Caenorhabditis elegans: one gene and its partner. The protein of the gene in region 1 interacts with the protein of each later gene in a pairwise test. Each region holds a gene or a part of one and is shown on either strand. Other genes may lie near its edges.

The links.
Region 2: the proteins of F26H11.4 (region 1) and F54D10.7 interact in a two-hybrid assay, tested with the Caenorhabditis elegans proteins (2 studies listed by BioGRID).

The regions. Positions count from the first base shown.
Region 1 is NC_003280.10:14,406,477-14,411,475, forward strand, and holds F26H11.4 (ULP_PROTEASE domain-containing protein), read left to right. Parts: upstream 1-2,135; 5' UTR 2,136-2,274; coding exon 2,275-2,309; intron 2,310-2,355; coding exon 2,356-2,629; intron 2,630-2,781; coding exon 2,782-3,009; intron 3,010-3,028; exon of another isoform or gene 3,029-3,092; intron 3,093-3,236; coding exon 3,237-3,436; intron 3,437-3,483; coding exon 3,484-3,937; intron 3,938-3,989; coding exon 3,990-4,081; intron 4,082-4,122; coding exon 4,123-4,333; 3' UTR 4,334-4,366; downstream 4,367-4,999. Other genes in the region: nurf-1 (DDT domain-containing protein), read left to right, coding at 45-466, 517-696, 745-875, 924-1,282; dsb-2 (Double-Strand Break factor), read left to right, coding at 4,626-4,688, 4,732-4,850, 4,905-4,999.
Region 2 is NC_003280.10:3,819,465-3,823,166, reverse strand, and holds F54D10.7 (Ubiquitin-like domain-containing protein), read left to right. Parts: upstream 1-1,870; 5' UTR 1,871-1,885; coding exon 1,886-1,996; intron 1,997-2,046; coding exon 2,047-2,466; intron 2,467-2,681; coding exon 2,682-2,945; 3' UTR 2,946-3,018; downstream 3,019-3,702.

The DNA of each region.
Region 1 (4,999 bases):
TTCGAAAAAAGTGATTTTCCCAGTGAGACCTGAAATTTTTCCAGCCAACGGAATCAATCGCCACCAACGTTTCTCGTCGTCGCCGAACTTCTGCGAATCTCTCAAAATCTGAAGATGATCGGGACAAGCCGGAAAGCCAATCCACGGCTCCAAAGTCAAAAGAGCGTCGTACTTCGGAGCCGCCAGCGTCCCACGTGGCGTTCCACACTCCAGGATCCGCGACACCACACGACATAAACCTATCCATTGAGCATTGCACCTGTCAGAAGATTTTCGACGCGTCGAAGCTGTATATTCAGTGCGAGCTGTGCGCTCGTTGGTACCATGGCGACTGTGTTGGAGTCGCCGAGCAAACTATTTTGGGTTTGGAGCACTGGAGCTGTGAGGAATGTATTGAGGAGCAGGAGAGAGTCAAGGATCAGCCGGCGTTGTACTGTGTCTGTCAGAAGCCATATGATGATACAAAGTGAGTTTTGTTGGCATAGAAATAAGAGAATAATTCAGGTAAATTTGCAGATTCTACGTTGGGTGTGACAGCTGTCAAGGGTGGTTTCACCCGGAATGCGTTGGGACAACACGTGCCGAAGCCGAGCAGGCCGCCGATTACAACTGCCCGGCATGCACTCGAGAGGCTGAAGGCTACGAGTCGGAAGCGTCAGATGTGTCGGGTTCGAGTCGTGTTAGTGTGCAATTAACGTGAGTTCACACATTGTTAGAATTTTCAGTTTTTCGGAAAAATTTCAGACGCGCCGACTATACTCATGTCTTTGAGCTCCTCGAGCTTCTCCTCGAACACCGTATGAGCACACCATTCAGGAACCCAGTAGATTTGAATGAGTTCCCAGATTATGAGAAATTCATCAAGAAGCCTATGGGTTAGTATTTCCGAAACGTCGTCAAACTTTGCATTTGAAATTTTTCAGATCTCTCAACAATAACAAAAAAGGTTGAGCGCACCGAATACCTGTATCTATCGCAATTTGTGAACGACGTGAATCAAATGTTCGAAAATGCAAAAACCTACAATCCCAAGGGCAATGCTGTATTCAAGTGCGCCGAAACGATGCAGGAAGTGTTCGACAAAAAGTTGATAGACGTTCGCGAGCAAATGACCGCCCGTCAACAGATGCTTCTTCTAGCTACTGCTCAACAACAGGACCCGATGAGTTCTATCAGAAAGCGTGTCCAGTCGGAAAGCCAGCGAACTGTCGACTCGTTGGATATCGATTCGGATCAGCTGTTGCCACTGGATGCGAATCTTATGAGACTTTATGATTTTTGAGATTTTTCCTCTTGTTTTTTTATGTTTTTCGTAGTCACACAGTGACTTTTCACTTGTTACGTTGACAATGTTTTGTAAGAATAAAATTTCTTTTCGATTTTCAATGAAAAATGTTTAAAGCACAGGTTCACGGCTAAATAAAAACGTTCCGCTTTATGTGAAAATTCATGACAAATAATCGAATGGAGCAATTTTTGACTCAAACTATAATTTTTAATTACAACACTCTTTAAAGGCGCACACCCGTTTATTTAACAAAAAAAAAATTGTGTCGAGACCGGGTGCCGTATTTTTGGTGCAAAAATCGCATAATTTTGCATAATTTTTTATAATTTTTAGGAAAGAACAAAAAGCGGCAAAATCGACGAAAAATGTATTGAAAGCGTTTGAATTTGCAGTTTTGCCGCCTTGGTTTCCGTTGGAATTGGAGCGCGATTGCACTTTGGTTTCAAAAATTGGTCACGAAACTACATTTTTTAATGCGATAAGGTGCACACCTTTAAAGAGTACTGTACTCTGAAACATTAATTGCTGCTAAATTTCCCCGATTTTAGCTTAGTTTTTCAATAAAAACTCAAATCTAACAATAAAATGCATAATTTTTACCAAATCGTGAGAAAAACTATAGAAAATCGATTAAGTTTATCAGAAAACTAAATGTTTTAACTACAGTACTCTCTCAAGGCGCACACCCGTTCGTACTTAACAAAAGTAATTCGTGTCGAGACCGGGTACTGTATGTTTGGTGGAAAAATCGGATAATTTTGTGTCTTAAAATTATATTAAAACAAAAAAAATTAATAAAAAAGTTTGAACTTAAATTTTTTATTCCCTGTCCTCCCCCCCCCCCCCCCCCGCCTATCAATCTGACGTGTGATCTTGTTCAAAAGTTTATTTATATATATTTTCGGACCATTCGTATAAAGTTGGATGAAATCTTTTGAAGATTGAAACTTCTGGTCATTTCAATTTTTATATCACTTCGTTACAAAATGGATTCCGATCTGAAAAAAGTTCAAAAGAATAGGTAAGCCGGAGCGGTCTTGGAACGAAGAAACAACTTCTATTTTCAGTGATCAGAAACAAGTTTCAAAAAGCAAAACAGCAACTGCGCCAACTGAGCCGTTTAACAGTAAGGCTACTGAGTTGCCGTCAATTCTCAAGCCGAAGTTCCCGTCGGACAAGGTCCTGAAGAAGAAAAAATCCGGTGACATGTTTGATCTTGTAGGACAGATCGTCATCGATATCGTTGATGATAATCCTGACGATGATGACCGACAGGATGAGGCTACAACGGTGGATACTGTACAAGAAGGAATCGGAGCAACGGTCGATGTAACTCTTGTCGTGAGTTTTTGAGGAGCAGAGAGACATTGTTTTAAATGAAAAACAGTGAGCGCTTTTAAGGAGCACAAGAGTCTTTATTGCATTCAAGTTTTTTTTTAGTAATTGGAGAACATGAATCGAATATGAAATAACCGGGTAAACTAAAATTTCAGGAAGACGTCGCTGAAAAAGCACATGAGCCAGCTTCAACTCCAAATGTTGCTGACCGATTGCAAAAACCAGTTGCAAAAGATGATAATAGCGCTCCGGTAGAAGAAGCAAATAGGAAGAAGAAAGAAGGCAAAGACCCCAAGAATTCAGAAGAAGCAAAGAAGAACAGTAAGAAGGGGAAAAACGGCACAGCAAGACGATCCGCGCTGAAAGGAGTCACTATTCCACCGGTGAGCTATCTAGAAAAGGCCAAAAATTTCTGCACGAAGTGGGATTCGAACCCACGCACCCATACGAGTACCAGAAGACCCAGTAAACCATCCGTGCGGTGAGTAACGTGCAGCGAGCGAGAGTATATGAAAAGAATGACAGAGAGTGAGAGAGCTTGCGTATTCAAGAGGCTCCATAGAAAATTGACGAAAAAACACTGGGCTTTTATAAAAATTTAAATTTCCAGGTAGCAGCTTCTTTACCTTGTCCTCCACCCCCACCTCCTTTGAGTGAGCGGAAGAAGAATGTAGGCCCAAAGCCATGCGTTGGTCCAGCACAGAAAAATTTGTCGAGCCAACGGAAGCATAGCTCAAAACGAAACCGAAAAGGGCTCTTGAGAAATGTGGCTAAACTATGGGGCCGAAAGTCGGATGGCATCGCCAATCCGTGAGTTATTCAAACCAGACTGCATCCCTACCGTGAAACATTTTCAGAACTAAAGCAATGCTGTCGAAAAAGTACGTGCCACCGGATTATGGAGTGAACCCTGTCGATTTCATGCCGGACCTTGAATGTTATTTTAGCAAAAACGACATTACTGTTCGTGATAAAAACAAGTGTAGCAAAGGAGAGGTTTTTGTTGAAAAGCTCCCATTTTGGTTGGCACGACTGCCGAGTGACGATGACATTCCGAAGGCTCAAATTCAGGCTCATCGGCCGCTGAAGCAAGCATTTGAAGGAAATCCGTCATTGCTCCTTCCGAAATGCCCAAGAACACTGCCGTTTTGTGAACCGGACTCTGACACACTGGAAAAGTTTAAGCAAGTTGATAAACAGATGGGAACCGATGTACCTGAACAGGCATCGAAAAGATTGTGTACAAACACTTTTTATGGAACCCTAATGTTTGAAAAAGACAAGAGTGCGTCTGAAGAGGTGAAAAAGAAGGTAGACTTTATTGACTAGCAATATATTTTTTGCGAATTTTAAAAGTTTTCAGAAAGAGGAACCAAAGTTGAAGTCTCTCGGAGAAGAGAGTGTGAAAGTGAACTTTAGTTTCCCTCCGAAACCAATCTTGTTTATTTACTCCAGGTAAGCTTGAGACTAAGCCGAAGCCTTATGATTTTTTGCAGAAAAAATCGACCAAGACCACCGGTGAGAGAGGACGACAAAAGCCACAGCTGCAAAAAGTGCCACCCCAAAAACTTGAAACCGGAGCGAACGTTCAAAAAGTGTGAATGGGTGAAAATGAAGAAGGGCGACGAGAAAAAGACTGTGACCAACTCGGCCAACTCGAAATCTGACACGAAATCGGCTTCTTTTTCAGCAGAAGGACGGAAATAGTACTTGTAGCTTAAAATGAATTATTGAAATTGAGGGGAAACAATTTTTCGGAGAAAAACAGGAACTATTATTTAAATTAAAATATTTTCGAGAAACACAGAAACATTTTGTGTAGTACAGTAGTTAATTGAAGGGACCTGCGCGATGTTTTATGCTGGGTCTCGCAACGCGCACACATATAAAATGGCTGTTACCGTAGTTGTTTAAATTTATTTGCTCCGGAATTCGTTTAAAAAAAATTCATTTTTGATCAGTTTATTTCAATAAATATCTCAATTTTTACAGAAAAAAAATGAGTGCACGTGGCCTGAAAGTTGAGATGTACTACAAATTAGCGGAAAAAAATGAAGCAGAGGTAATTTTCGCGTAAATATGTTTTTTTTATTTGAGTTTTTCAGACTAGCGATGTCTCTATACTTATCGACGGACATAAAAGAAAGTTCGCAGTCATCTGCAATGGAATCGGAAGAGAGATGGTGGATTTACACTATGATTCCAAGAAGTTTCCGAGAATTTTGTAAGCCGAACAATTATTTTGTGTTAAATAAATTTTAAAAAAATCAATTTTCAGTTCCCGAGAACGGCATCTCTACGTGATGTTCAGTGAAAGTACCAGCGATGGATTTCGATTGACATTCGGCGCAACAGAACGCGAACAATTTCTGA
Region 2 (3,702 bases), about 11 Mb from region 1:
CAAAATAAGAAATGGGACTTTTGCTTTTCGAAAAATAGGCGAAAAAATTAAATTGCGATTTTTGGGTCGAAAAAAATATTTTTAGAAAGCTGAGAACACGCTATTTACGAATTTCATGTTCATTTTAGGTGGTTCCTTTTCTGAAATGACCTAAAAATTTAACAAAAAGAACATAATTTTAATTCTCACGTCAATTTTTTATTCGCAAGAAAACAATTGAAGCACTGAGCAACATGCCAAAAAATTTTACGTGAGAATTAAAATTATGTTCTTTTTGTTTAATTTTTAGGTCATTTCAGAGAAGGAATCAATTAAAATGAACACGAAATTCGTAAATAGCGTGTTCTCAGCTTTCTAAAAATATTTTTTTCGACCCAAAAATCGCAATTTGATTTTTTCGCCCATTTCTCGAGAAGCAAAAGTCCGATTTCATTTTTCGGAGCGAAGGACGATTTTGGAGATGGGCAGGATTTTTTGAAAGATTTTTTAGGACATTGTAGAGACCTCAAAAAAGTGATCATTTTTCAAAATTTCAAGTTTTTACGTTGGATATGAAGAGTTTTATGAGCGAAATTGGATTTTTTCGAAAAACGGTCTGTAACTTGGCGGAACATGAAAATATCAAAAATCTTAAAACTAATAAAACGTGGAGAAATATTTTTTACTTTTTATCCAACAAAATTTATCTTTTCAAATTTGATGGGCGTAGGGTTATGACGGGTACAGCAAAGGAGTTCTCAAAATTTTTTGTGATTTTTGGTAAAATGGCTTTGATGTCTCTACTTAACTCTACAAAAAGTTGGTGTATTGAGATAAAAATTAATGAATTAAAAAGAAAAAATATTTCTGATCATTTTGTTAGTTAAACATTTGTTTTCCAGATGTGTATTTTTCGAGATACGTCAGTTTGAAGATGCACAAAAAAAATCAATTTTAAAACAAATTAAAATCATCATTATTGGCAGCAGAGAGTCTCTGCTGCCAATAATGATGATTTTGGGGTGTGCGGCAAATTTGCCGAATTTGCCGAATTTGCCGAGCACGGCAAATTTCAAAAAAGTAGATTTGCCGAATTTGCCGAGCTCGGCAAATTTCGAAATTTGCCGCATACGTCAAAAATTTGACAGTACAATGTTGACTAAAACTGTTGATTTTTTCGCCAAAAATTTAGTAAAATGACAACAAATTGAGTTATTTTGATGTTTAAGCAGACACACTACACCTAACTTGTTCAGAAACCAGAGGTGTGTTAAGAATTCAGTAGTTTTGGTGCTCCAAAAAATATCAAAAAATATATAATTTTTCCGAGTTTGTTAAGCACGGCAAATTTGCCGAATTTGCCGAATTTGCCGTGCTCGGCAAATATTGGAAAAATAGATTTGCCGAATTTGCCGAGCTCGGCAAATTTTGAGATTTGCCGCACACCCCTGGCAGAGACGGTAGACGGCAAAGAAAGAAATGCTATCTGAGTTTGCCATCTTTAGAGTATGACCGGGACTTTGCAAAATGGTCTGGGCCGGAAAGGAAATGAAAACTCGAAATTTTTATTTAGTAACTGATCGTTGAAAGATCACGTACATATTAGATGACAAGTTGCTCCGCTCATATATTGAGTTTCTGCATTTTTCATCTGTAAGGCGCAGGACAACTACATTTTTTGTGGTTCTTTGTTTTAATAATCTTCAAAAATGCCAAAAAAAAATTGATCTCCCCGCCGCGCACCAATAAAGTGGGTCACTTGCCACGAGGCGATTTCCGATCCCCTTTTACAATCGGTATGCAGGGGAGAGGCTCATTCTCTCATTGATTTGTTTTTTTGTGTGTCCTTTTCCCGTTTTTCTTGTTATTTTAAAATTTAATTAAATTCCAGAAAATAACCTCTGCAATGCCCCCAACTGTTGGAAAATCTACCAATAAAGATGGACCGTCGGATTTGATGTCGGCGTTTGAAAATTTGCGATCTGAAACTGCTGGAATCAATAATTTCCTTGAGAAAGTTTGAATTTGAATTGTATCGGCCTTATTAATATTTATTCCAAATTCCAGGGTCCCACCATCGGTTCGATCACGTCCTTGAGCATTTCCAAATTTGACAAGTTTTGTGAAAATCAGGATAAAGTCAACCAGAAACTGATGCTAGCGATTCAGAAAATGTCCATCGAACGTTCGAAGCGTCAGAAGATCCAAGACGCTTTCAACAAAGAAATGCTCGACGCAATCAGATCTATGAAGAAGGCGTTTGCTCGGGAGAAGGAGGAGTTCAGCGATGATTTGGAGATTTTCAAGGAGGAGCTGTTTGAGAAGCTTGATGAGGATAATGAGACCTCTGAAGACGAAGATGAGGAGGAGGAGAATGATGTTTTGGATGCGATCAAGTTGCTCCAAACTGGACTCGATGCTATGAAAGAGGCACAGAGGGAATTTTTCAAGAAAGTGACTGAGGATACTCAAGCCATCCGGAGAAAGGTAATTTTATGAGATGATTGTGTTCCTTACTTGAGGCTTAGGCTTAATCTTAGGCATAGGCTTAATCTCATGTTCGGCAAACGGCAAATCGGAAACTTGCCAGAAACGGCAAATCGGCCAACCGGCAATTAACCGATTCGCCGAATTTGCCGACAAAAAAATTTGTCAATTGCCGCCCACCCCTGGCCCGTAAATTTAGCAAAAAAATTATTCAGATTGGCTCGAAAAACATAAAGTTCAATGTTATCCTTCACGGAAGCCGAATCCCGATGGAACTGGACTCCCTTGACACAATCTACACGGTCGGAATGGCCCTCCTGAAGCACGGTGGCCTCGCACTGCATCGCCAACGTCTCATGCTCAATGACAAGGAGCTTCAGTATAATCAAACTCTTGAGGAAGCTGGAATTAAGGACGGTTCTGTCATCAAGCAACATACTGATGAAAAGTGTGATGAAGATTGTGAATGTTGTTGTTAATTTATTGAACTTTATTGTTGAATGTGGATATTATTATTATTTGATTAAAAGAAAGATAAATGTTTTATTCAAAAAAACGTGAATCAATTAATTTTTCTGCTACCAATTAAATTCATTTCTCCAAATCTCGGCGACCATGTCGAATTTCCGCTCGGACAATTTGATGTCTGAATTCCAAAAACTTCGCATGGAGACTGCAGATATTGGTTTGGCTCTTGGAAAGGTAACACTTATTTTGTTAGCACCTAATAAATTCTACTTTTCCAGAAGCCAGAAAACTCGGGCATTGTATCCGATTCGCAGCTTGAGAAAGTCATTGAAGAGCAGACAAAACTCAACAAGGAAATCATGGAAGCCGTTCGAAAACTGGAAGTCGAGCGAAAGGAACATCAGGCAAATCAAGAAAAATTCAATAAAGCAATGATGGAGGCTTTTCAAAAACATCGTGATGAAATGAAGGAGAGCATCCATTAAGAACGAAATTTCTCGAAAACCAGAGGCTGCTGTACATGAAAATTTGCCGACGAACGACGCGAAAATCCTCTTCCAACTGACACGTGACGGCAAGCGCGAATGGAGTGAAGCTTTGAAACAGTTCCTATTTGAAACCGAACTCGCAATCAAGAAAGATACCCAGTTGTTTCCAGGGGCGCCGATAGACAGAGAAGAAATCCGTTTCAATGGTGAATGTTTTTTCAACACATTTTCACGTTGTGTGTATCGCGTTTCTGCTGAATTTTAGGGATTTTAAAGCAAT